Lepisosteus oculatus: one gene and its partner. The main gene of each other region encodes a partner of the protein of the gene in region 2 in a complex. Links are inferred from orthologs where the notes say so. Each region holds a gene or a part of one and is shown on either strand. Other genes may lie near its edges. The genes, in order: trappc12 and trappc8.

Region 1 (12,270 bases), on a different chromosome or scaffold from region 2:
ACGTTTCCTGAAATGTGTATAACTAATAAATAGTCCTTGCACATAATAATGTATTTAAAAGTGATGAGATACATTTTACTCAGAATGCAAAACATATTTTATATGTAGAATGCAGAACGTTTTTTGTTCTATAGTCACTAGAATTCCAATGAAGGGATGCAGTTGCTGTACATTTCTTGCTTTCCTAGATTCATTTTTACGTATCGAATTAGAGTCCATTACGATAAGGGGGGTATTTTTCACAGGCATTATACCGCATATGACAATATACTGTAACAAATGATCTTCGTATTACTTTGCACGTGATAATTTTTCAAGGCAAGACTTAGTCTTAGTTAATTTATTACTGTAGGTTACATAAAAGCAACCAATGTGTTACCTAGTCAAATCGTAAAATCCATTAAGATAAGCTGTTAGAAAGCTTCACATTTCTTGCAACCAAAGAACCAAATATTTCTATATTCATTCGAAGGTGTGTGCTGTTTTGAATGGCATTCCATTATAGTGCCTATCAGTGCCTATCTTCCTTGCAAGATCTCTCTCCATTTAATGGGCAGGAGAGCTTCTGTATGCTGTTGAATTTTTAGTTAATGATGTCCTGTGGAACACTCGCTTCTCGATTGGAGATGTTATACATGTGTTTATTTCTTTGATATTAAGCTCTTCAGTATGCAAAGTCATACCATATGATATGTCGTTACTTTCTTAATAATTAAATACTGATTGTAGCATTATGTAAACGGATGCTAAAAACAGTAGTTAAGTTTACTGGACTTAAGTATTTAGAACTTTTTAGAATTATTTAGAATTTTAGATTTAGATTTAAAATCAATTAAGCGACGTAGTGGAATGCCTGATGTGAGATTTGTGAGTGTTGTTAATGAATCTTTATTCTAGTTAATGATAATAAAGATTCCATTTAAAAGGAAGCCGTGTGTGTGTGAATAGGTAAAATCTTGGTTGTGGTACAGCAATTACAGTACATCACTGATAACTGGGATTGAAAAGGAATAGTGAAGAATCTTGCATGTTCCTGCATCAGATCGACTCTTTCAAGATATTCTTTGATATCCGTCCATCCATCCACTGCCAATGGCTCAGCCTCATAAGTGTCATGGCAAGCAGGAGTACATGATTGCTCTGTCTTTGGATAGGATCCTAGTCCTCCACGAAGAGCCCTGGAGAAAAGGGACAATTTAGCCAGCACTGGATGTCCATGACATCAGCATGACAATTTTGAACTGAACAAGTTAGCATGTCTCCGTGATGCAGATGTAAGCCTTCCTGGGTGAACAAAGCTGCTGTCAAGTGTGTCGAAATTCTGATGTGCTGTCGTCTTGCAGTGGGTATGAAATTAGTCAAAATGTTGAGGGCTTTTTATCGAGATTGGGTTAGGTGCAGTCCTTAGTGTGATTAGTTACTTGATGCTTGATCTTCTGTGTGACTTACATGGCCATAGCCGTACAGGAAGAACAAGGTGAGGCATTATTGATATTTGTAAGCTGTTGGGCATATCTGTGCATTCCGAATGTACTGTAGCACTACAAGTGGGACACCTAAAAATGTTTATGTAAGTGCTCTATTTGAGGAGGCAGAAAAATCTTAAAGGTTGTGTTCAGGTCTTGTGAAGATTCAGTTTAATAGTTCCTTCTTCAGACACCCATTACAAGACATTAATCCTTATTAGCGTAAATTTATTTGTTAATGAATACAGCTAAGTACGCCAGCAGAATAGTTAATGTGCCACTGTCATATAAATCATTTGCTCAAACTTTATGTGTTGAGCAACCCACTCTTTGCTTGTTTTAAAAGCTGCTTTGGTCCAGTTCTGTCCTCAGCACCTGACAGATTTAAACTCCAATTACTGTATGTGTGAAATACCCTTAACATTAAAGTCCCAGTTATTTAAATTATTTTACATTGTGTAAAATACACAAGTGCAACACCTTTGGTAGCAAATATTTTGGCAGCCTTGAAGGCCAAATAAGGATAAAACGTTTTGTATTGTCCAAATCTTTTCAGTTTTTTTCCATCTTTATCTTAAACAAAATTCTTAACGTTTCTTTGTAGTTTTCTAGCATTTACCTGTAGTTACAGATTTTCTGTCCGTCATTCTCAGTTACAGTATCTGCAACATTAACTAAGAACCTTTGTTTTAGGATGACACGCTGAAATATTGAGCATTAAACCTGTTGTTGGGAATTCGTTTTTTTCAGGCTCGTGCTTTAACAGCCCAGACAGCAGAAACAGATGCAATTCGCTTTCTAGTTGGTACTCAGTCTCTTAAATTTGACAATCAGGTGAGTATGTACTTATGGAATGAGGAATGAATAAAGGATGGGGGGGTTAATACGAATACAGTAAGAGTGACATTTCCTCTTGGATGACTCATGACTGCAGCAGACCTCCCTAGTAAGTTTCAACCACTTTTTTATTTTTAGAATATTTTGGTAGTCTATGGCACCAATCCCTCTCTGCAGTCTTAGTAATAACTTTTATATAATCCACTGCATACTTTACAACTTTGAGTCTTTTGGTGATTTGTAAAAGTATTATACATACATTATACGTAAAGGTTTAGCTGAAATTTTAAATATTGTAGTATTTCAAAATGTTACTTGTAGATTTTATTCAGTATGAGGTTGACTCTTTGTGTTAATAAGAATATTGATGTTTTTCTAAGATGAAATTTTATGTACATAGTAATATTATAAGTGTGATTGAATTTTCGAACAAAACATTTTCAGATACTTAAATTTGTTTTTAATCAATAGAAACTGGCTGAATTAAATCAACTAACTTATAGGGATATCACAGGCATCAGTTTGTACATTCTGCTACAAGGTCAGTGGTCTTCTCGAGTTTAAAGAATTCATGGACTTTAACTGAAAACATGTTGAAAGAAATTCCCAAGGTTTGGAAACTCTGATCTCTCCGATTGTAACAGATGATAGAGTTGCTGGTCAAATGCCTGTTCTATTACACTGGTTTAATTGTAAAATTAAAAAATCTATACTAAGATGGATGAATTAATAATTTCACACTGAGCATTGGCACAACAAAGGCAAAGTACAGTATAAAACCATAAATCTTCAATTTTAAAAGTACAGACAACACAAAAAATTGTGTGTCAAGAGCTTCAGTGAAATTGCTATTAATCTGACTATTGAAAAATAATCTGCAATTAAAAAATGCACATTTCATTCAGAAAGTTCACAAATTTCTCAAGGCAGTCAGGATATTCAACCCAAAACACATATCCAGAAATCAGCAGTGGAATGTATTTGGATTATTTTTTTAATGAAATGGAAAAATAATTTCCCTGTATAAAATGAAAGATTAAACAGTATCACTTATTTGTTGTCACCGATTCCATTGGTGCTAAAATAAGAGTTTATTTGCATGAGCAGGTATTCAGTTTTATTCATCTATGACAGGAAAGTGGGAAACCATATGGTAATGATAATTATGTTTGCTTTCTTATTTTTGTTTTGCTTTACACTGTTTGAGATTTCAGCATTTTTTATCCTGTTAAACATGTACTGTATACATGAACCTGCAAAATGTAGTTTTGCTGGATTCATTTTGACGCTATTGAATTGAACAGGCACATGTTTAAGTGCCAGTAGCCATATACTGTACATCACTGTTATTCTATACGCTTATGCATTTACGTTGTAGTAATTACGTAAGGTTACACAATGGGATGATTGCTTAATAAATAAAGAAAGAAGAGGCTATATTAATTTATTGGCACTGGAGGAATAAGTTAAAAGAATATGTTTGAAGATTAGTAAGGAAGAAATCAAGACCCTATTAATAATTTATTATTTTTATGTGAAAATATCAGTTGTTATTTTTTACTTACACTTCATTCACAACAAAAGAAAAACTGTATTTATGCAGTTTCTTATACCTGTAATGGATCTAAATACTTGTAGTTTATAACTAAAAGGAGCTTATGTGTATATGTTAGTTACAAGACATATTTTTTTATGTTTCTGTAATGGCTATTTTTTATCTCTGCTGTTTATTTTTCACATTTTTAGCCTTTTGTTCAAAATTTTAAAGAGCTAGAATAAAATGGAATTTTCAGTGTTTTTAAGTAATAGAACTGACTAAAATGGGTTTATATTTTTCATGTTTATCACAGTGTTTATCTACTGTAAATTAAAAGGATTATCCTTAGCCTAGCAGGAAGTGGGTGGTAGTTACATGCTTCTGCTGCTACATACATAACTGACAGCTTTAGCGCTCAATCCCTTAGGCTATAATAACCCAAATCACTCCTCGCAAGCACATTGGAAAGGTATGGTGCAGTATTTTTGTCACACTTCTTTCATTGCATGCCAGACCAATTTACCTTTTATCTTCCGCCTGCTGATTGCAGCTTTATCTGGGATAGCCTGGAATATCGACGCTTATCACAGCAGCACTGTATGACTAAAAAACCATGAAGTATATAAAAATATATATATATATATTTTGCATTGATGCGAGTTATATATTTTTGACATATAACTTAGAATAATCTTGGTCTTAAAAATCTCACAGAGGTCCCACAAGTTGATGTCCAGGTCATTAGTTTTTTCAAGATGTTTAAAATTGATGGAAAAGAGGCCAAGTCGTCTGAGTGGGATGACTCATTCTGCATCACATATATAAAATAGCATAAATCATATCTGGGGTTTGTCCATTGGACCAATTCACCTAATGCCCTGTTACATGTTCTTTTTTTCTCTCCAATTATACTGCCCAGTGATCTAAATTTATCTGTAGAGCTCTGCTCCATAAAATTATAACTTGGCGTAATAATTTTTGTTTAGTGTGGTCCAGTCCAAGGTTAATGGTTTCCTCTGCCTTTCAACTGTCTGAAGAGGTGTCAGGGCCTTGTTCATTGATGCAAACTTCCCCATAAAACTTGTCCAGAAGAGATGAATGTCTGGAATTAATGCCAGGTGCAACCAATTAATATTCCTTGTGCCATACTGAAACAACATCTCATTAAAATGTCTAACATCTATTTTTCCCAACAGGTATCTTTCAGGTAATTCTTTTACACAGATCAGAGCATGAGAATAGCTTTGTGTTAATCCTGAAACACTCTTCAGTATGAAACCAATGAATAGTCACACATGTAGTTCACACAAGAACACATGTAGTTTCAGAACCCGATTAAGCTGTGTCCAAACATTAGATTAATAGCACCATTAAATTTTGTGATTCAATTATTCATTCAGTTTTTGGCTGTGGTTTCAAATTCCTTTGTCCTTTCTTATTTATGACAAAGTGCTGTCTTCTGTCTCCAGAATTGTGAACCAGTCAGGGTCGGATTATGGTTATTTTGAATACATACAGAAATACATCTCTTTTAAGTGCATATAAGTGCTTTTTTATGATGTCACTAGACTTCTAATATTTCTTTCTTGGCCTATTTTGTTCATGTGCAAGTGCTATGTACAGCTTCTAGGATGACAGTTTAAAACTATGTAAAATGATGATACTGGTTATTCTGACTATATACTATATATGTGGGAGTTTTAGGAGGATCTGCAGTAGAGGTACTAGTGGAGTCAACTAACTACTTGACTTTATGGTTGTGAAAGATGTGTTTTAGGTAGTATGACTCAGGCACCTTAGCACATGAAAATAATACTTCAGCACATAGCTGTGTAAAAAGAGTTCACACCTTATTACTATTAGTACAACACAAACAAAATTTAAAAACAGAAGCCTAGATCTGTTTGAGCTCTAGCTTAACTTCTTTTGTTTCTTTCTCTATAAGTAGCTGAGCAGCTTAGCCGCTTACTGGCTTCACAAAACCAAAATCTTTCACCAATTTGTTTCCAAAAAGAAAAACTTTTCAAAACTCTCACCAATAAGCACATCTGCAGGCTTGTTGATTGCTTGTCTTCATACTTCCTTTTCCCACTGCTGCACATAACAGTGACTCTGCTAACTAGCAGTGTTCAGGAGCTATCTGGAAGCCTCTGCTTTCTGGCTTTTAAATGTTACCCAACCAGTGTCTTTCCCCAGTTGGTGACAGAGGATGACAGATCATTCGCATTGCCTTCTGGGAAATATGGAGACAAATACTGTCATCGTATCTGAAGTAACCTACCACCCTTTCACATGCTTTTGTATGCCACTGGTCATTTTTAAAATTTATTTAAATGTAGCATCAGCTCAGAAGTGTGAACTTGTATTGTTTAAAAGAGGTACAAAATTATGTCAGCTCAAAAATGTCAGACCACAGTATCAGAGGTATTTCGTCATCTCATGAAGCAAGCCTTTAGAATGGTGCTGAAGGAAGACACGTCCTAACTAACGAATTTTTATTTTTGCAGATTCACATCATTGACTTTGATGATGAAAATAATATCATTAATAAGAATGTTCTCCTCCACCAAGTTGGAGAAATATGGCATATAAGCACAAGTCCTGCAGATAAAAGTGTGTTGTCAACCTGTTACAACAAAAGTAAGTAAGCATTTCTTTTTTTAATAGAATTTTTTTCTCAGTCCATGCTTGCCACCCTGCCAGACCTTTTTCCTAGCTATCCTTTGCAGGCATTGCTGGTAAAAGAACTCAGTCACAGTCTTGAATTTTGGCACTCTGTATGTCCATTGTCGCCTCAAGGCAATTAAAAAATAAATGAACATGAAGAAACTATTAAACATTAAATTAGAGTCTACAAGGCTGAAGACTGTAGCTAATCCTGGTTTATAACTATCCTATCAGTAGGAATATGACAGGTTTCAATTTGTACGTTTGGATGAGAGTGTGACCACATTTGTCTCCAGTTATATATTTAATTGATTAAAAGCTTGATGCATGCACGTGCCTGGCTGAACAGAAAAAAATGAATTATGAAGGTGATCAATCTAATGAAGTATCTAAAGCTAAAGAAGGTGAATTAAGTGTCTTCTTCCACCAGGCTCAATGGTTCAAATGGCCAAAAAAACATTTAGCCTGTGAAAGTAAACTATTGTATTTTCCTGCATTATCTCCCTTACATTAGATAAGAAAGACCCCTGCATTCAAGTGAAAATCTTATTTGTTGTAAAAAAGGCACTAAAACACAGTTGGAAATACACATGTATAGACATACTCTGTGGTTAGAAAAGGCACTTAAATACTTTAAAAGCAGTAGAGATGTTAAGTTCTGAGTTCCTCAAGGTTTATTTGGTTAAAGCCAATGTTATTTTCATGTAAATGTTGGCACACATTTAGATACAGGCATTTTAATGAATGAAACGTAAAAGTTCGCCTCTGGGGGCACTCTTTACCAAACTCCTTGGCCAAAGTTGTTCCCATTTGTGTCAGCTGTGGATTGTTTTCGTACTTGATATGATATGAAGCCAGCTGACTTACATATATTTTTAATTCTAGATGTCTTACCCTAGGATTCACTGTTTCTGACATGTCTTGTACCTAGTGAAAAACTATATTTGGAAAAAAATAAATGTGCTGAAAGGTCTCCTCTTGTTTCTTATTATTCAATTGTTTTTGTGTGCAACATTACTGATGACATAGTTTAAAATGTTGTCTGTATAGCGCATCCATGTTTAAAATATTTCTGTAGTGTACAATTGCTAGAGTGATTTGAAAGCTAGTCTTGGTGATATTATTTACTGCACCTACAGTACTTATTATTCAGCCATGTGTTTTAATGGAAGCTGAAACATGTTGGATCAACGTATTGAAATATGAAATCAAGGGTCTCCAAAATACGATCTTCAAAAACTGTACAAACAGATTTATTGATTTCATGAAGCATGAACAATATGTGCTTGTCTTCAAGGTGCAGTCTTGATTCTCCCCTTTTGTTATGTATCTTCATATACAAACTATTCCAGGAACTGTTACTTAAATTGCATTTTGAAAACAAACTTTTGATGTACTTTTATTTTTTGTATTTTTATCTGATATTGACAACTCTATTGACAAATCATGCTTTTCAGCATTCTTGGGTTTGGAAAGGCGCTTCATGAATAAAAATTACTATCATTCTTTTGCAGAAATTGCAGCAGAAAATAATTGTAGCATATCACTTCTTTTGGCATTCGAACATTTTGGTGCCTCAGCAAGCAGTTTAGTTTTCTGTTAAATAATACATAGGTATTATTGACATACATCAGTTAAAGCACGCGTCAGCTGCATTATTAAAGCATGCACATAAGTATAATTAACTGGTAATTATTCAAGCTATTCAGAAAATAATGTTGAATGAGACACTGACCGTAGATAGAGGTCATTGTCTTAATGTATTTTGTTTTGTTCTAACTGCTGAATAGGGTAGTGGCTGTCATAACTGAGATGCTGTGCTAACATTGGTCTCTGTTGCTTAGCTTCAGACAGTAAAGTGGTAACATGTGCAGCTGTGTGGAGGATGCCGAAGGAATTGGAATCAGGCAGTCATGAATCCCCTGATGATTCATCAAGCAACCCACAGACCCTAGAGCTGCTCTGTCACCTTGACAACACAGCCCACGGCAATATGGCCTGGTAGGATCCTAAGTATTGATTTAAACCTTTTTTACAGTGGGGTAGGCCAGGGTTGAATGTGTTATTCACCAGTGTTTTCCAGCATTTGTTTTCCACAGTAAACTATCGACTGACCTAGTTACTGCAGAGCTAGGCTGGCACAGGATCCTTGTCTCGCCTGCTTGGCTAATTTTTAGTCTGTAATATATTTAGGGAACATTAAATGTTTAATTGGTTTGTGTGTCTCTAAAACATACACAGCGGTTACCTGTATTTTTAAAATAATTTTTCTATATAGCATGTTGTGTATGAATTTATGCTCACAAGAGCTTGCAGTATAGAATGATGCAGGTTTTAGCACCTATTGTTCTTTGAAAAAGGTTCATCTCACCACTTTGGCTTGCTTTATATCACACACAGTAGTACATTAGGCAAGCCCTTGGCAGATACCAGTCAGAAAGGGTTCTTAAGGGATATAACAGTTCTTAGTCAGCAAAGTTTAAGTTAAATAGTTAGGAGTTCATTAATGTTGTTCAATTTTGGCTGTTTTATGCAAATCCAGAGGGATAAAAAATATAATGATTATAAAGCCCTCCGAAACAATTATACAGACTGGTAGCTCATTCCTGATCACCTTTAATACTTTAATACTGCACAAGCAAACCTTCCGTTTTGCAATTAAAGTGCAGCTCAGTCTTTTAATGTGTGCAGTGTTTCACCCTGTGCATATGTGTTATTTTAAAGAATAAAACAAGAATGATTTCAATTCTGTTTTAACCGGTAAAGTTGTATTATACTGGCATTTTAATGTATTTGTACTTGGCAGCATCTTTGTAGATGTTCTGTCATAATGTAATCAAAAATAAAATAAAACTCTTTCACACAAGTATTTTGGATTTCAACGTATTCTCTGTGAATAAAGAACAAACATCCTGTTTTATAGTTATCACTTAAATGTAGTACCACTCATTCTACATTGGCCATGGTCATATTATCAGGACAAGAACCTCAATGTTGTGTATTCAGATATAGTGTTCTTCTCTAATTTATCAATTCACAAAGCCTCAGTTTAAGAGGACAGGTAATAACACCACAATTTTCCTACTTTTTTACTATGTTATGTGAAGTTTCTTGTACAGCCCTCTTCTTGCTTCATGGCTAATCTTTCTTTGCTTTCCACTTCCCTGAAGAATTTTACATGTAGGATACCTTTTAGATTGTAAATAACTCAGTAGTCTTTCAGGTAAGGAATAATGTTTAAAATGCCTGCTGCATGCTTGTCTTGTTTACTCTTTTCTAATACTCAGCAAAAGCGTTTCTGTATGAAGGCTTTGATCCCATTGTCTTTACCACCTTCTGTATTTAGGCTGTTCAGTTAACTCCAATATGATGCTTTTTTTTTTAGATGTTGTCTACAGCAGTCATTGTTTCCTGCTGCCAGACCACAGTCCTGCTGGTTTTATAGGGCTCTTAAAATAATTAACACCTAAAGACTTGGGAAAAGTGAGGTTTCAATGGCTAATTGAAGTCAGTGATTGTAAAGTTTAAATAGGTAATACAAAACTCAGGGGGAGGAAAAACATAATGCCATATAGCCATCAACAACTTGAGATGAACATCCTGATCTTTAGGTTCATTTTGTTTACTTTGCAGTCATATGACCCATTTTCTTGGAATTGGTTTTCTAAATGATCAGGAACTTCTTCCTGTGGTCTGGTTATCAAAGAAGAAGCTAATGTTGTGTACATTAGCTACAGTATGTGCCTCAGCCTAATACATGGTGATTAACCAGCTGATCTTTTTTGTCAGAAGAGGGAGCTCATGGCACAGTCCCCATCTCAGACAAAGCTTGTCATCGAATACAACCAAGTTACATCTCCTCCCCCATTTGACTTATCTCAGCTGTGGCTGGCAAGGAGAAGCAATGACACAACATTGGTGGGACAAACTGGAAGGGAATGAAAAAACAATATTCTGTCTTTTATCATCAAGGAGGCGAGTTCTTATTCAATAGGCACATCCATTGCAAATGATTAACAGATATGGATATGATGTTTTTTTCACTAACTGGGGTGTATTCGATCTCAAATCAGATGACCCACAATGGACTGTGTATTGGCTTGGTGCTATAAAAAAAGATGCTCCTTTAAGGAAGAATAGTATTTTAAGTAGCAACAACAACAGAACTGTAGTATCCATGGTCTGTAAAGGCAGAGTGGTGTGTGTGACTTTGGGGGGGTCAGTGTCACAAGTCATTTAATCTAAAAGCAGCAAGATTGTGTAGCTGCAGGTACTGTTACAGGAGAGAGTTAAATGAAAATCATAAAATATATAAATCTATACAGTGGGCATAAGAGTGAAGAAATAAAAAAAAAAGATTCAATTGTTTAAAATCTGATGTGAAGGCTAGACTTTTTTCACGTATTTGTTTGGCACAGTATTTGAGACAATTGACCTGCCTTGAAAGCACTCCCAAGGTGAGAAGTAGAGATTGATGGTCACAGAGACTGAAGGGCTGTCTCTCCTCCTAAGCGTGTGGTTTCTCAAGGGCAGGATTGATGTGCACTGAGGGAGATGAGTTGAGAAACAAATGTTACAGCTGCCTTCCTTGTACTAGTTTGGTAGATAAGTCCTTTGGCTTTTCCCACTCATTTTTAAGAATAACTCTACAATGGGGACAAAATCATTGGACAATTACATGAACAGGTTTGTATAACATGTAGAAGTATGAGAGACTGTTCTCTAATTGTAAGCCTTGGATTTACCTTCATTTGAAGCCCCTTTCATAGTAATTGGTTATTTTGGTACTGAGTAAATGTTATCCAAAATGTTTTTTTTTTTGCATGAAATAGAATGCAAGAGGAGTATATGTGGGCACTACCCACGCTATTTGAACGACTAGGACGCAGGGCAGGGCAATGACTTTTGCCACCTTACATGAGTTGTAAAAACTGTTCTGCCTTTGGCGTTAGATTTATAACATTAGGATTTTTTTTTTCTCAAGCAGCCGATGTGAATTACATACAGTACTTGGCTGGGATCCTTTTGAAAATGGGTTTCCTTTATCTTCTCGTAGCACACCATTGGCCATTAAATTAAAATGGTGGTCATAAAGTAGTTAAATTAAATTAGACTCAAATGTTGTCTACCTTCAAATAAACCTTAATTTATCTGTGCTTGTGAATAGGGTTAAAATAATTTTACAAAACACAACTGCTGAAATGACTGTACAAGTTTTTAAATGTCTTGAACAGGTCAACAGGCGTGTTAACCTTTTAAATGTTTTACAGTGTTCTCTGGGAACCCATGGGTGATGGCAAAAGGTTGATTTCACTAGCAGATAATCATCTTTTGCTTTGGGACTTGCAGGAAAACTGCACCAAGGCTACGGTAAGACAAAAGATCTTGAGATTGTATTGCTTCTTTAAAGATTTATTATTCAGTTGTTTCCAAATTATTACAGTCATTTACCGATACTACCGTTAAAAGCATCATTAGGCTCTGCATGCTCAGATGTTCATTAAGAAAATAATGTATATCATGCACTGCAGATAAGCTGTGATATAATAATTCTATGGGATAACAACTATTAATTAATAAAGCTTATAATGAATAAGGTGTTCATACCTTCATGAGTTTATTACAGCTACAGGGTATTATTTCTTTGCATTTTAGTATTAGTGAATGGTTCATTTTTAAGAAGATCAGAAAATGTTCCCTCTCACATCAAAATTCAGAGTGTATGGTACATAAACACTTTTACTGAATAATGTTTATGCTAAA
Region 2 (12,288 bases):
AATGTACTTTCCATCGTTGTTTTTTTTTTAATATAGGCATATCTTTTGAAAAGATCTGCAGTAATAAACTGCAGATCTGCAGTACTAAACTGTAGTATACCATGATGGTCAATCCATTGTGGAACAGCTGTTTGGGAACAGAAAAGTACCGGTAATTTTATACCCATCTAAAAGTTTCAGTTTGCGTTTGCAAACGGGTCAGTTAGAGTGTTTTTATTTTTTGTTTTCTATTTTTAATACAAAATTGCGAAAATTATTCTCTCCTTTGCGATGTCTCAAACTACAGTTTTATTCCTGGGGGGGTACGCATACTGCTGACCTGCAGTCAATTTCAGTGAGCACCCTTTCAGCAACAGGAAGTAAATAAACACAGTATTTACACAACTTCCGCAGGCTCTGCATCGCCCCCTCCTCGTCCTCATCCGGCGGGCCACGTCGGTGGCTCTCTTCTCGTCTTCTGACACGGGCCCTCGGCACATGGGGCAGTGCGGCCCGCAAGCCCTCACCGCCGCCACGAAGCAGTGCTTACAGAACCTGCAGGGAGAGATCCCACACACATGACACACTCATGGTCGGGAGGCAGAGGAGTCACAGCACGGCTGTGCTCAGGCCCTTCAGACAGGGACACACACATCGATACACATTATACAGGGACACACACATCGACACACATTATACAGGGACACACACATCAACACACATTATACAGGGACACACACATCGACACACATTATACAGGGACACACACATTGACACACATTATACAGGGACACACACATCGACACACATTATACAGGGACACACACATCGACACATTATACAGGGACACACACATCGACACACATTATACAGGGACACACACATTGACACACATTATACAGGGACACACACATCGACACACAATATACAGGGACACACACATCGACACACATTATACAGGAACACACACATTGATACACATTATACAGGGACACAGACATTGATACACATTATACAGGGACACACACATCGACACACATTATACAGGGACATACACATCGACACATAATACAGGGACACACACATCGACACACATTAGACAGGGACACACACATCGAATCACATTATACAGGGACACACACATCGACACACAATATACAGGGACACACACATCGACACACATTATACAGGGACACACACATCGACACACATTATACAGGGACACACACATCAATACACATTATACAGGGACACACACATCGACACACATTATACAGGGACATACACATCGACACACATAATACAGGGACACACACATCGATACACATTAGACAGGGACATACACATCGACACACATTATACAGGGACATACACATCAACACACATAATACAGGGACACACACATCGATACACATTATACAGGGACACACACATCGACACACATTATACAGGGACATACACATCGACACACATAATACAGGGACACACACATCGATACACATTAGACAGGGACATACACATCAATACACATTATACAGGGACACACACATCGACACACATTATACAGGGACATACACATCGACACATAATACAGGGACACACACATCGATACACATTATACAGGGACACAGACATTGATACACATTAGACAGGGACACACACATTGACACACATTATACAGGGACACACACATCGACACACATTATACAGGGACACACACATCGATACACATTTGACAAGGACATACACATCAATACACATTATACAGGGACACAGACATTGATACACATTAGACATGGACACACACATCAATACACATTATACGCATTATACAGGGACACACATCAATACACATTATACAGGGACACAGACATTGATACCCATTGATATAGAGTCACACACATCGATACACATTATATAGGGACACAGACATTGATACACATTGAGTCAGAGACACACACATTGATACACATTGATGCAGGGTCACACACAGTGATACACATTGATACAGAGTCACACACATTGATACACATTGATGCAGGGTCACAGACAGTGATACACATTGATTCAGGGTCACAGACAGTGATACAGGGACACACACATTGATGCAGGGTCACACACATTGATACACAGAATTTGATACTGTAAACTAACATGGCATTGACTGAGAAATAAATGCATACTTGAAAATACTTTTCCTGCTGGATATTATTATTTAACTAGGGCAGCTTACCATGTTTATGAAGTTGTATATTAAGTGTAAATACAAAAGGCAATTAAAGAGAAGATCTCAGTTAAGGGTGGCACAGTGGTTAGCATTGCTGTCTGGAGTATGCATGATCTCTCCATGTTCTCATGGGTTTCCTCCTGCAGTCCACGGACATGCTGGTGGGTCACCTGGCTTCTGGGAAAGATGGCCCTGTGTGTGTGTGTGTGTGTGTGTGTGTGCCCTGCGACCCCGAATTGGATGAAATGGTTAGTAACGGAACAGACGGATGCTTAAGAAATGGACGGATGGATTTCAAGACAGTATAAAGGAAATGAAAAAATGAAATGAAAATGAAAACAAGCACACCAATGTGGGAAAGGGCTCTGCATGCAAAATACAACCCATACATGAATGAAGTGGGAAGCACCAGGACAAACAGGGCGGAGAGGTGGCTCTGTGGCTAAGGATCCGTGCCTGTGGCTGGAGGGTTGCCGGCTCAAATCCTGCAGCCGGCAGAGGAAACCTACTCTATTGGGCCCCTGAGCAAGGGCCTTAACCCCAACTACTCCAGGGGCACTGTACAATGTTTAACCTGCACTCTGACCCCAAGCTTCTCTCCCTGTCTGTGTGTCTCATGGAGAGCAAGCTGGGGTATGTGAAAAGACAAATTCCTAATGCAAGAAATTATAAAGGGTTAATAAAGTGATGCTTTTATTATTATTAAATGTGTGTACACCCCGGTGGTGTGGGTACAAAGCCATTATGTGGAGGCTCTGGTGGAGTGAGGACCCTGTTGTCTAGCAAGGGAACGGCAGGAGCAGTTTGAGAGATGTAGGAGGAAGCCGACAGGATGCACTGAAAGGAGCTCAGGACTGGGCAGTCCTTTGTTCTGCTGGTGGCTCATCCCTCCACTGAGGAGCAAGGACTAAGGGATAAGGAACCGACTCTAGAAGTGGCAGAACGGAGAGGGCTAATAGGCAATTCAACCCTCATCTCCTGCACCAGCCCACTGGCTAATCCCATAGGATCTCCCTGGCCTGGTTTTTAAATCTGCACTGCTACATCCAGTTTCACCCTTGAGGTGTTGTGTGCAGGGTCAGTGAGCTGCTCATCCGGGAGAGAGTCACAGCAGTGGGCAGCAACGCAGGACGGAGAGCAAACACAGTCTGTGCAGGACACAAGGGGTCTGCCCAGCTGAGTCAACGTGTCATTTGGAGGTGAAAAGGAACCGGAGCACCCAGGACTGAACGCAGGACCCCGAAGCCGTGAGGAAACATCGCTGAAAGCCACGCCCCCCACACTCTCCCCTCCCAGCTGTTTCGTGAAGGGGTGCAGATACTGCAGTGTTCAAATCTACAAGCTCACCTTCCACATACAGTAACGATTATCATTAGCTGGGGTCAGCTCTTGCACAATGCAGAAAAGCAAAATAGGACGTCCATCAAATGTTAAATTCAGGGGCTCAGTGAAAAGATCAGTCCATTTTACTCACACGTGTTTGCAGGTTTTGGTCCTGATGGGTGTTTTGAAGACTTCTTGGCATATTGGACAGTCAAAATCCCCCGAGAGATCCAGATCGCTGAATGGTTCTTCTGCGGGCGGCCTGGCTCCTTCTTCTTCAGCGGATCCCATCGTGAGGTGGGAAGGAAGCTCTGCGATCTATTTTTATGTTTCATTCACAGAAGGGTAATTAGCTTAATAGCATTTAAGCTTTAAAGACAAGTACAGGTGTAAACTGCTTAATTTTCAATTTATACAAACGCAAAGTCTCATAATATTTTAAAAGTACTCCACAGACATCTGAGGCACAAATACTCAGCCTTATAAATGTGTGCATAATTTAAGTGCTAATTCATCCTTATATATTACCATAATAATTGTTTTCTGTAGTATTCTTAGGTAAACATTCCATGCAAAAATTCAATACAGCATAATTTGCATAAGTATAGCTTTGAAATTGTTTTAAAATTGCTTTAAAATGTCAAATTGCATTGAATTCGTATCTGTGTGAGTGCTCACCGGGTATTAAACAGGATGCTGTGAAATAGAAAATAAAGTGGAAGTGAACCAAATCCGTTGCTTTTAGTGAGAAATAAATATTTACGGGACTTTCCAGCTTTGTCATGCTTGCACATTTCCTGCGTCACACACATTTAAAGGAAAAAGGCAAACAAAAAGTGAAAGTTTCTTTTTCGTATGATGCCCACGATACCCCTCAAGCAAGAAAACAACAAACGTTTAAGGTAGCTGTTGGGCACCTACTTAAAACTGAATATACAGCAGGTCCAAATTTACTTTGCGTGTGAGAGCACGGTATGCCAAAACGCCCGTTAAACTGCTATCTATCTCCAGTGATGCTGAAGGAATGTTTTTAAAACACATAAATCCCCTACATTCCAGGAAGCCACAAAAGACGTATTTGAAAATTCAGTTAACAGAATATTTAACAGCTATCTATAAATTGTAGCTGTGTACTGTAGCCTTGTGTCTTGCATCTAATTTTTATATATAGAGATGACAAAAAATACCTTCAGAATACCTTATCTCATCAGAATAGCTTTAGTACTGGTCAGGCTGAATTAGTTGTTCACAAGTGGCTAAGAGCTTGACAAACAACTTTAATTATTCTTAATAGATATCCTTCTGTCAAGTCATTGACATATACAGGTAGTGTCAATGCTTGTGTTTAAAGCTGTACAATATCATCTTTCACCTGCTGTACAGATACATACTGTACATGGTCATATATAAACTTGATAAGCAGGTATAGCTAGTATCACTCATTAAATGCACCATGGGGAAATATTGAGCTTTTCAGAGAACATTAAAATAAATGTTTTGCATATGAAATGAATGGTAGAAATAAACATGTTCTTTTAAAACCTACAACACATGCATACTGTACTTTATTTACTTGAACTTTACTGCACAGTCAGAAAAAGAAACAACATAATAAGAAGAGAACATTCTTAACGTCAGCTAAACACAAACAGTAGATGTTATGAAAATAGTCAGAAACTCAGACACAGTAACAATGCCATTTTCATTTTATCGCTTTGAAGTGAGGAGCCTTAGTAAAAATGCACATTACCAAGTTGTAAGAAGAGCTGGTCGAGGCAGGATTCGCTTGTGCTGCAGTCCACAAAGCATTTAAAATGTGCTGATGCTGTTGTACCATAAAACACGAGCCAACAAGCAACATTTTCACTTTCGGTATTACAGAACAGGAAGCTGAATCTCATATGTTTCCATCCAATCTTATATTTATAAAGCCTGTGCTTGTTTCCTGCTTAGTGCAGATCTCATTAAAGGGAAGATACATACTAATTAAATATTTATTTATCAGTGTTGTTTTCAAATAGGGAGTCAGATTTGAAAGCAGGGAATGACTACAAAACTCTGGGACAGCTTTTTTAGCTGGATGTTTTATAAAACATCACAAATCCAAAAGATGTTCTTCGGAGACAGATTCAGATTCACACTGCCAGGGCTTTCTTGAGAGGTGGGAATGTGACGTCATGCCCAAAATGTCTTGTACAACGAGCTGGAAACGTGTGTGGCGTCTAGGGCTCGTACACCAGACATATGCTTGTCCAGGATCTGCAAGAAGAAAAAAGGACTGACTCCCACAACACAGCCTCAGCATCCCGGGGAAAAGTATGCTTCACAGAGGTGGAGTGTGTGTTGTTTCCAGCGATGCCCTGCGAGCCTTTATCAGCACACGCTGTGTTGATCACCCATGATAATGACAAATTGTTATTCAGCATAATGAAACAACCTATGTCATGCCTGTTTAACAGTGCTGTATAGAACTGTCTGACTGAGGGGTGATCTCGAGGCCAGACTGAAACAAGGAGAATTTATTATAAATACCTTTGACCAATGATGGTTACTCCTGATATCATTAAATTGTTGTCTCAAACAAATGTGCTGTTTCTGTAGTTTTCAGTGTGAACTCATTTGTCAGATTATCCCTCTGAACACAGTTTGTGCTAGGAGAAGCAGAAGAACTTCTGTATACTCATAAAAACGAAGTCTCAAAGTTTAATCAGTTTTGGTTCCCTTCTTACACTTTTTTTGCAAGCTGACTACAGTGGTAGTGGGATTTGTGGTGTGCTCTTGTGTTTGTACAACTGTATTTAGAGAGTAAAGTTCCTTTAATTTCAAACTGGTAGAGTGGAGGACAGCAGTGAAACAGCTGTTGACTATCCTTGGGTCACTGGTTCAACTCTGGCTTGAATGATTTTTTTGGGAAGTATTATAATAGAGAACAGGGGACACGTCTTTACACAAAGGGTGGTGAGTGTGGGTCAATCTACCCAGCCATGATGTTGAAGCCAGTACCCTGGCTTCTTTTAAGAAACGTCTGGAGGAGCTCCATGGATCAATTCACTGCCAAAGGGCTAAATTAGCTGAATGACCTCCTCTCGTCTGTAACACGCTCGTTGCTCGGGTTTGTTTTTATATTAACTTTGTTTCTCTGACCGAGAGAAGAAAATAAAATGGAAACCTAACCTCATGTCGGATTTAGAAATAATCAAAATAATTTAAGATACACATAGCTAAGCAGTGTTTTCATGTGTGATACACATTAGACTTTGTACTCCACATTTCCAATTTTTCAAGCTTTGAAACGTTACCAGTATCGAGGTATATATTTATCGCTAGGAAGGCAAAATATCGAAATTGCGTCGTCTAATTTGAATTTGCGACTTGTACTGTACGACATCACACATCACAGCACATATCTTTTCGGATTGCAACAACAAAACGTCCCCTTCTATACACGAAGTATCCCCGCAGCCAGCGCACAGGAAATACCTGGTGCACAGCTGTCTGCGGCTCGTGACCTGCGGGTGAGCGCGATCACATGACCGCCCCGGTGCTCCACGGGAATGAAATCGATCAGCAGGCAGCTGGAGAATCCAACATGGCTGCTCTCGGCTGTCAGTAGGGGAGTTGTTTTCAACTCTGGGGCTAGTGGTTAACTTTGAAAGAACAACAAAAGACAAATCTTTCCGCGGCTTGGATTTTTGTTCCGGACGTAGCGACCGAGATCGCAGTGTCCGCCATGGCCCAGTGTCTCCAGTCCGTGCAGGAGTTTATTCAGGACTCGTTCGTGCCCATGGTGGCCGTCTTGTGCAGCGAAGATGCGGAGAAAGTGACTCGGAAAAACAACCTGAATTTCTCAGAGCTGGTGAGGCCTTTCTGTCGGCTCACCTCGGAAGGTTTGTGTTTTTTTTTTGTTTTAACTTCCATGCAATGTGGGTAGTTTCGTTTCGTGGGGATGTCTGTGTGTACTGCGATACCCTTGTTCTGTCGGCGCTTGACAAATGACAGGCAGGGCTGGTTATAATTCAATATTTAAAGGGGAGATAATTCGGTGCACCAGGGCCTTCTCGGGTTTTAAGTTCCGTCTCCTTGAGGCGGTTCATTAATATCTCAGTAGTTTGGCATTATTGTCGAAGAGTCAAAATGGAGGTACACTTAGTTTTATGTGGCGTTTTCTCTCCGTGGAGCAGGCCGAAAGAGATGTTCGGTGAGGGATACACTTTCATTACACAGATCCGCATAGCGTCTTCCCTAATGTTAAGGGTTAAGGCGCTGTGTTTGGGGGAAATGTACAGTGGGTCACCACGCCTGACTGGATATAGAATCAGTAACCTACATTTTAGGCGGCGCAGCCGAGTGTATTTTTGCGTGACGGCTGTGAGTGAAGCCGTGTCCCGCGAATGCCGCACACCTTTGCGTGTTTCCCGAAAGTTAGCGGATGCCGCCTGAGGGAAAGGATCGGTCCCACTGACCCCTTCAGATGACAGCAGCGAGTAGAAGTGGTTAATAAACTGCTGTTGCTCTGGGCAGGTAATATCAGCGGAGCCGTAGATGGTGACTGAAGAAGTTCAGTTCTCACGGCTCTGCGGGCTGTCCGGGGAGAGCAGTCCTGTTCACGTCTAGAGAAGCGGTGCTGAGGCGTGGTGTTCGTGTTGGACTCTTCATTTCGACAAGAACGGTCATTCATAACAAGACTGAGAAAGCATCACGTTGCCAGCATCCAATGTATATGTGCTTTATGCCACATTATGTGCACTGTAAAATATGCTTTTAGTATTTCCTTCTTTTCAGTCGTGCATCGGCTACATATCTCTTACATTACACAGGCCGGGAAATGTAAGCTTTACCATGTTTTTTGCATCATCAGACTTTTTCACGACAATGTTTTCTGTATTAAAAATCACTAAAATAGGTTTGGAACTTTCTGAATAAATCATTTAATTATTTCGTGTTAAAAATCACGCCAACTACTGTAAAACCCCCTTTCTAGGATGGGAATGATCAGGACCACTATACGTGTGTTCTCCTACACTGTTTATATATTGTATATATCCGATATATGAACGCAGGTGTCTGGAAACTCTTCCCTGTCATCAGATTATACAGTTGAAAATGAAATCTGTTATTTATTTATTTTTTAATTTGGAATCGCCAATTCTTTAATTCTTTGCTATCCTGACCTGATTTGGGCCGGCCAGTTGCATGTGACTTACAGCTCAGCCCTGTACGGCAGCCCTGTATGGCTGGAGTGCCAGGGAGGCTGCAAGTGGGCGGGGCCGCTCCGCCGGTTTGTACCCCATTGCTGGCTGAGCCACCGGCCCCCGTCATGCACAGCCCCTCTGCATCTAAGTATGGACCCCCTTAGAACTCATGACAGGCGGTAAATGGTTAAACGGTATAATCTTTAGAAAGGAACAAGTAATAGGTTTATTCCATGCTGAAAAAAAGAAGAAAGAGAACACAACGTTTCGGCCGAGGAGCCTTCTTCAGGTGTGACACCTGACACCTGAAGAAGGCTCCACGGCCGAAACGTTGTGTTCTCTTTCTTCTTTTTTTCAGCGTGGAATAAACCTATTACTTGTTCCTTTGCAGCCTACGCATGCTGACGCAGCTACCCACCTAATCTTTAGAAAGATGCACTTATAAGTCTTATGCACTTGTTGTGATTCACTGGTTTATACCACTAATATTGAATGTCCTTCCATCCGTCTGCTAACTGTTTTATATCCAGTACAGGGTCGTGGGGGGACCGGAGCCTATCCCCTCAAGCAACGGGTGCAAGGTGGGGTACACCGTGGACAGGACGTCAGTCCGTTGCTGGGCACACAGCAACAGACACTCGCAGCAGGGCAGCATTTTTCCCAGAAGCCAGTTAATCTGCTGTTATGTCTTTCGGCTGTGGGAGGGATACTGGAGCACCTGGAGGAAACCCACACAAACACGGGGAGAACTGACAAATTCCAGGCAGATAGTAGCACCGGGGCCCTTGTCTCTGCAAGGCAGCGATACGAGCCGCTGCGGCCGTTGGGTGCTGCCCAATACTGAACAATCCTCACCGTCTCAGATGCTTTCTAAATTGTCATCTACTTGAGAAAGTTTTTGTTGAATCTGGCTAAGGCCAGGGTTTGTTCTGGGGTTGAGTTCATAAAATGCCATGTAAATTTGAGTAACGTATTTAGTTGCCAGGAGCTTCATGGGGAAAATAAAAGAGCAAAAGAGAAAGTCTTGGCATTTTTTAAAATTAGCCGTAGGTCATCAACACAAGACCTAAAGTCTTAGTCTGTCACTGACATGGTGCTCTTAGTAGAGAGCAGTTTGAGGCAGCAGTTAAACTAGCTAAAACAGAGAATTTATTCCAGGTTGCACCCAGAGGAGAGTTGGAGCTTTAAGCCTTCATTGACTTATGGCTCAGTGCTTTCTAGGTACATACCGCCCAGTTCTCCTATGAATACGGGGGAGAACAATTGTCCACAGGATTTGCATCAAGTTCCTCCACTGGTCACAGTCCGCTAGTGACATAACCCAGGATCACAGAGCTCAGCCTGCACTAGTGTGAGCATCTTTTTTCCAATTGAGCCTCTTGAGAGGCCCCAGGAATTTACCTTTTAAAGGTTCACCATAAGCAATGCACCCCACCACCATATTGTTTTTTTGGATGTGATTCTGTTGTATGTGGAGGCATCACAGTGCAGTGCTGCCTCATGGCACTAGGGTCCCGTGTTCCTGATCTGGGGTACTGTCAATGTCGAGTTTTCCTCCAGTTGCTCTGGTTATCTCCACTAGTCCAAAGACATGCTTGTAGGTTAATTGGCTTTTGGGTAAATTGCCCCTGGTGTGCGTGCATGTGTGTGTTTGTTTGTCTCTGTCTGCCCTGGAATGGACAGGGGTTTATCCCCATTTGCTGTTGGGATTGGTTCCTCCTCCACTGTGACCCTGAATCAGATGAAGCAGTTAGACAATAGTTGGATATATTGAACGTGCTGTAGTCTTTATCTCTGTGTTCTTTCTGCTTGTGTTGTCATAGATTTTCTTGGAAAAAAAAACATGTTCACACTAAATGAGGAGACCTGCTAACAAAAGTGTTAGTGGCAAAGTGGACTGTTACATGGTTATTTACTTCCTTTCTTGCTTGTAATCAGTACTAGGACATGTAGTGCCACATTTTCCATTAGCAGTTGTTGCCCAATAGCTTGGTAACCTGATTCCATGGAAACCAAGCTGGACCATCGTTGATATATCCCATTACAATACCGAATGGCAAACCAGATGATAGGAACATCTGGATATGTTGGTAAAATCACGCTGACGTGAAAGGAATTAGGATGAAACATTGTCTTATGAAAGGCTAACCGTCTCAAAAGAAAATACAGCATCGTAAATCCTTTGTTTAAATGTTATTGCAAAGATATTACAATAAAACCTGGGATGCTAAAGCTTATTAGCAATCACAACTGCACCCTTAAGGCATTCTCTTCCACAACATTATTAGCAATGTGTTGTCTTGTGTTAGCCCATTTCCTTTCAGCAGCGGTGACTCAGGATGCAAAGTGTTTCTGTTCTTTTTTTCATGTAGTCAGGTTGCCCACAAGCACCTCTGACTTAGATTTTTCTTCACCCAATGAAATTTGTAGGGCCAGATATTAAGTCAAATACACTTTCTCCGATCAGAAGAGAGCTGTCTGTACTGAGAGTGCTTCAGCACTTTATTGGTGGGAATGCTTGGCATCTACAGAATGAGAGGGAAACGGCTAAATCCTAGTATGTAAAAAAGTATTCTTCTACCTCTGAAGTAGATGTCTACTTTACAAAAAGCATTAAACTCTCAAACTATGCTGTAGGTGAAAATGATCACACGGTCGTAGGTTTTGACATTTTGGTTAAATTCATGTAGCATTTGAGGTAGCAACTGGGATTTTATTATGTGATTCGAGATGCATGTTAAGTATTACGACTTTAGATTATCTCCTGCACGCATTTGTCCCGTGTTCTGTGGGTTTCAGGTTCCCTGCTAATAACATCATAGTACATTATGTGAAGGTAGCATCTGATAGTAGGTGGCACAGTGGTGAGCGTTTCTGCCTCGTAGTGTCGGGGCCTTGAGTTCCATCCCTGGGGTGCTGTCTGTGTGGAGTTTGTATGTTCTCAACGTGGGTTTCCTCCAGGTGCCCCAGTTTCCTCCCACAGTCCACAAACATACTTGGCTTCTGGGGAAATTGTCCCTGGTGTGAGTGTGTGCCCTGCGACAGACTGGTCTGCCCAGGGTGTACCCCGCCTTGTGCTTGTTGGCTCCAGCTCCCCTGCGACCTTGAATTTGATAGAGCTGTTGAAAAAAGGCTGGATGGATCTGACAGCCAGTCTGTTAGTAATCAGCTATGTGATTGAATTATTTTAAAAATGGGCAGGGCACATTATGACACATTGTTGCAAAATAACATAAGTGGCTTGCATCTTATATTATTGTTGTTTGGATTTATGTTGGTGTTGCTCACCATGCGGTCTGGCTATATTTTACTGAAGTAAAAGCAAGTTTTGTGTGGGAGCCTGATGATTAGCAGTAGTAATCAAAACGAAGTTTTCAAATCTTTATTTGTGAATTGAAAAGAAATTATTCATGTAAGCAAACCCAATAATTTATGTTTACTCTTCCTACTTAATGACAGGAGATCCCCATTGCTTGTCAATAATGCTGTTTGAGCTCAGGTGAGAATGCTGTGTAGAGAAATTTAAAAACATATTACACAAACATCTCAGATCAGTACTGGTTAAGG

Evidence for each region.
Region 1: trappc8 (region 2) and trappc12 share a complex: the UniProt entries of both Homo sapiens proteins name them as parts of the multisubunit TRAPP (transport protein particle) complex. The link is inferred for Lepisosteus oculatus from reciprocal best matches to the Homo sapiens genes TRAPPC8 and TRAPPC12.

The regions. Positions count from the first base shown.
Region 1 is NC_090697.1:14,817,217-14,829,486, forward strand, and holds the start of trappc12 (trafficking protein particle complex subunit 12), read right to left. Parts: upstream 5,900-12,270; 5' UTR 5,877-5,899; intron 2,301-5,876; coding exon of another isoform or gene 2,217-2,300; intron 1-2,216. Other genes in the region: eipr1 (EARP-interacting protein homolog), read left to right, coding at 2,217-2,300, 6,348-6,480, 8,352-8,508, 11,778-11,877. UniProt on the Homo sapiens protein: Component of the TRAPP complex, which is involved in endoplasmic reticulum to Golgi apparatus trafficking at a very early stage.
Region 2 is NC_090701.1:42,898,716-42,911,003, forward strand, and holds the start of trappc8 (trafficking protein particle complex subunit 8), read left to right. Parts: upstream 1-7,079; 5' UTR 7,080-7,259; coding exon 7,260-7,416; intron 7,417-12,288. Other genes in the region: E3 ubiquitin-protein ligase RNF138-like, read right to left, coding at 381-534, 3,681-3,820. UniProt on the Homo sapiens protein: Plays a role in endoplasmic reticulum to Golgi apparatus trafficking at a very early stage. Maintains together with TBC1D14 the cycling pool of ATG9 required for initiation of autophagy. Involved in collagen secretion.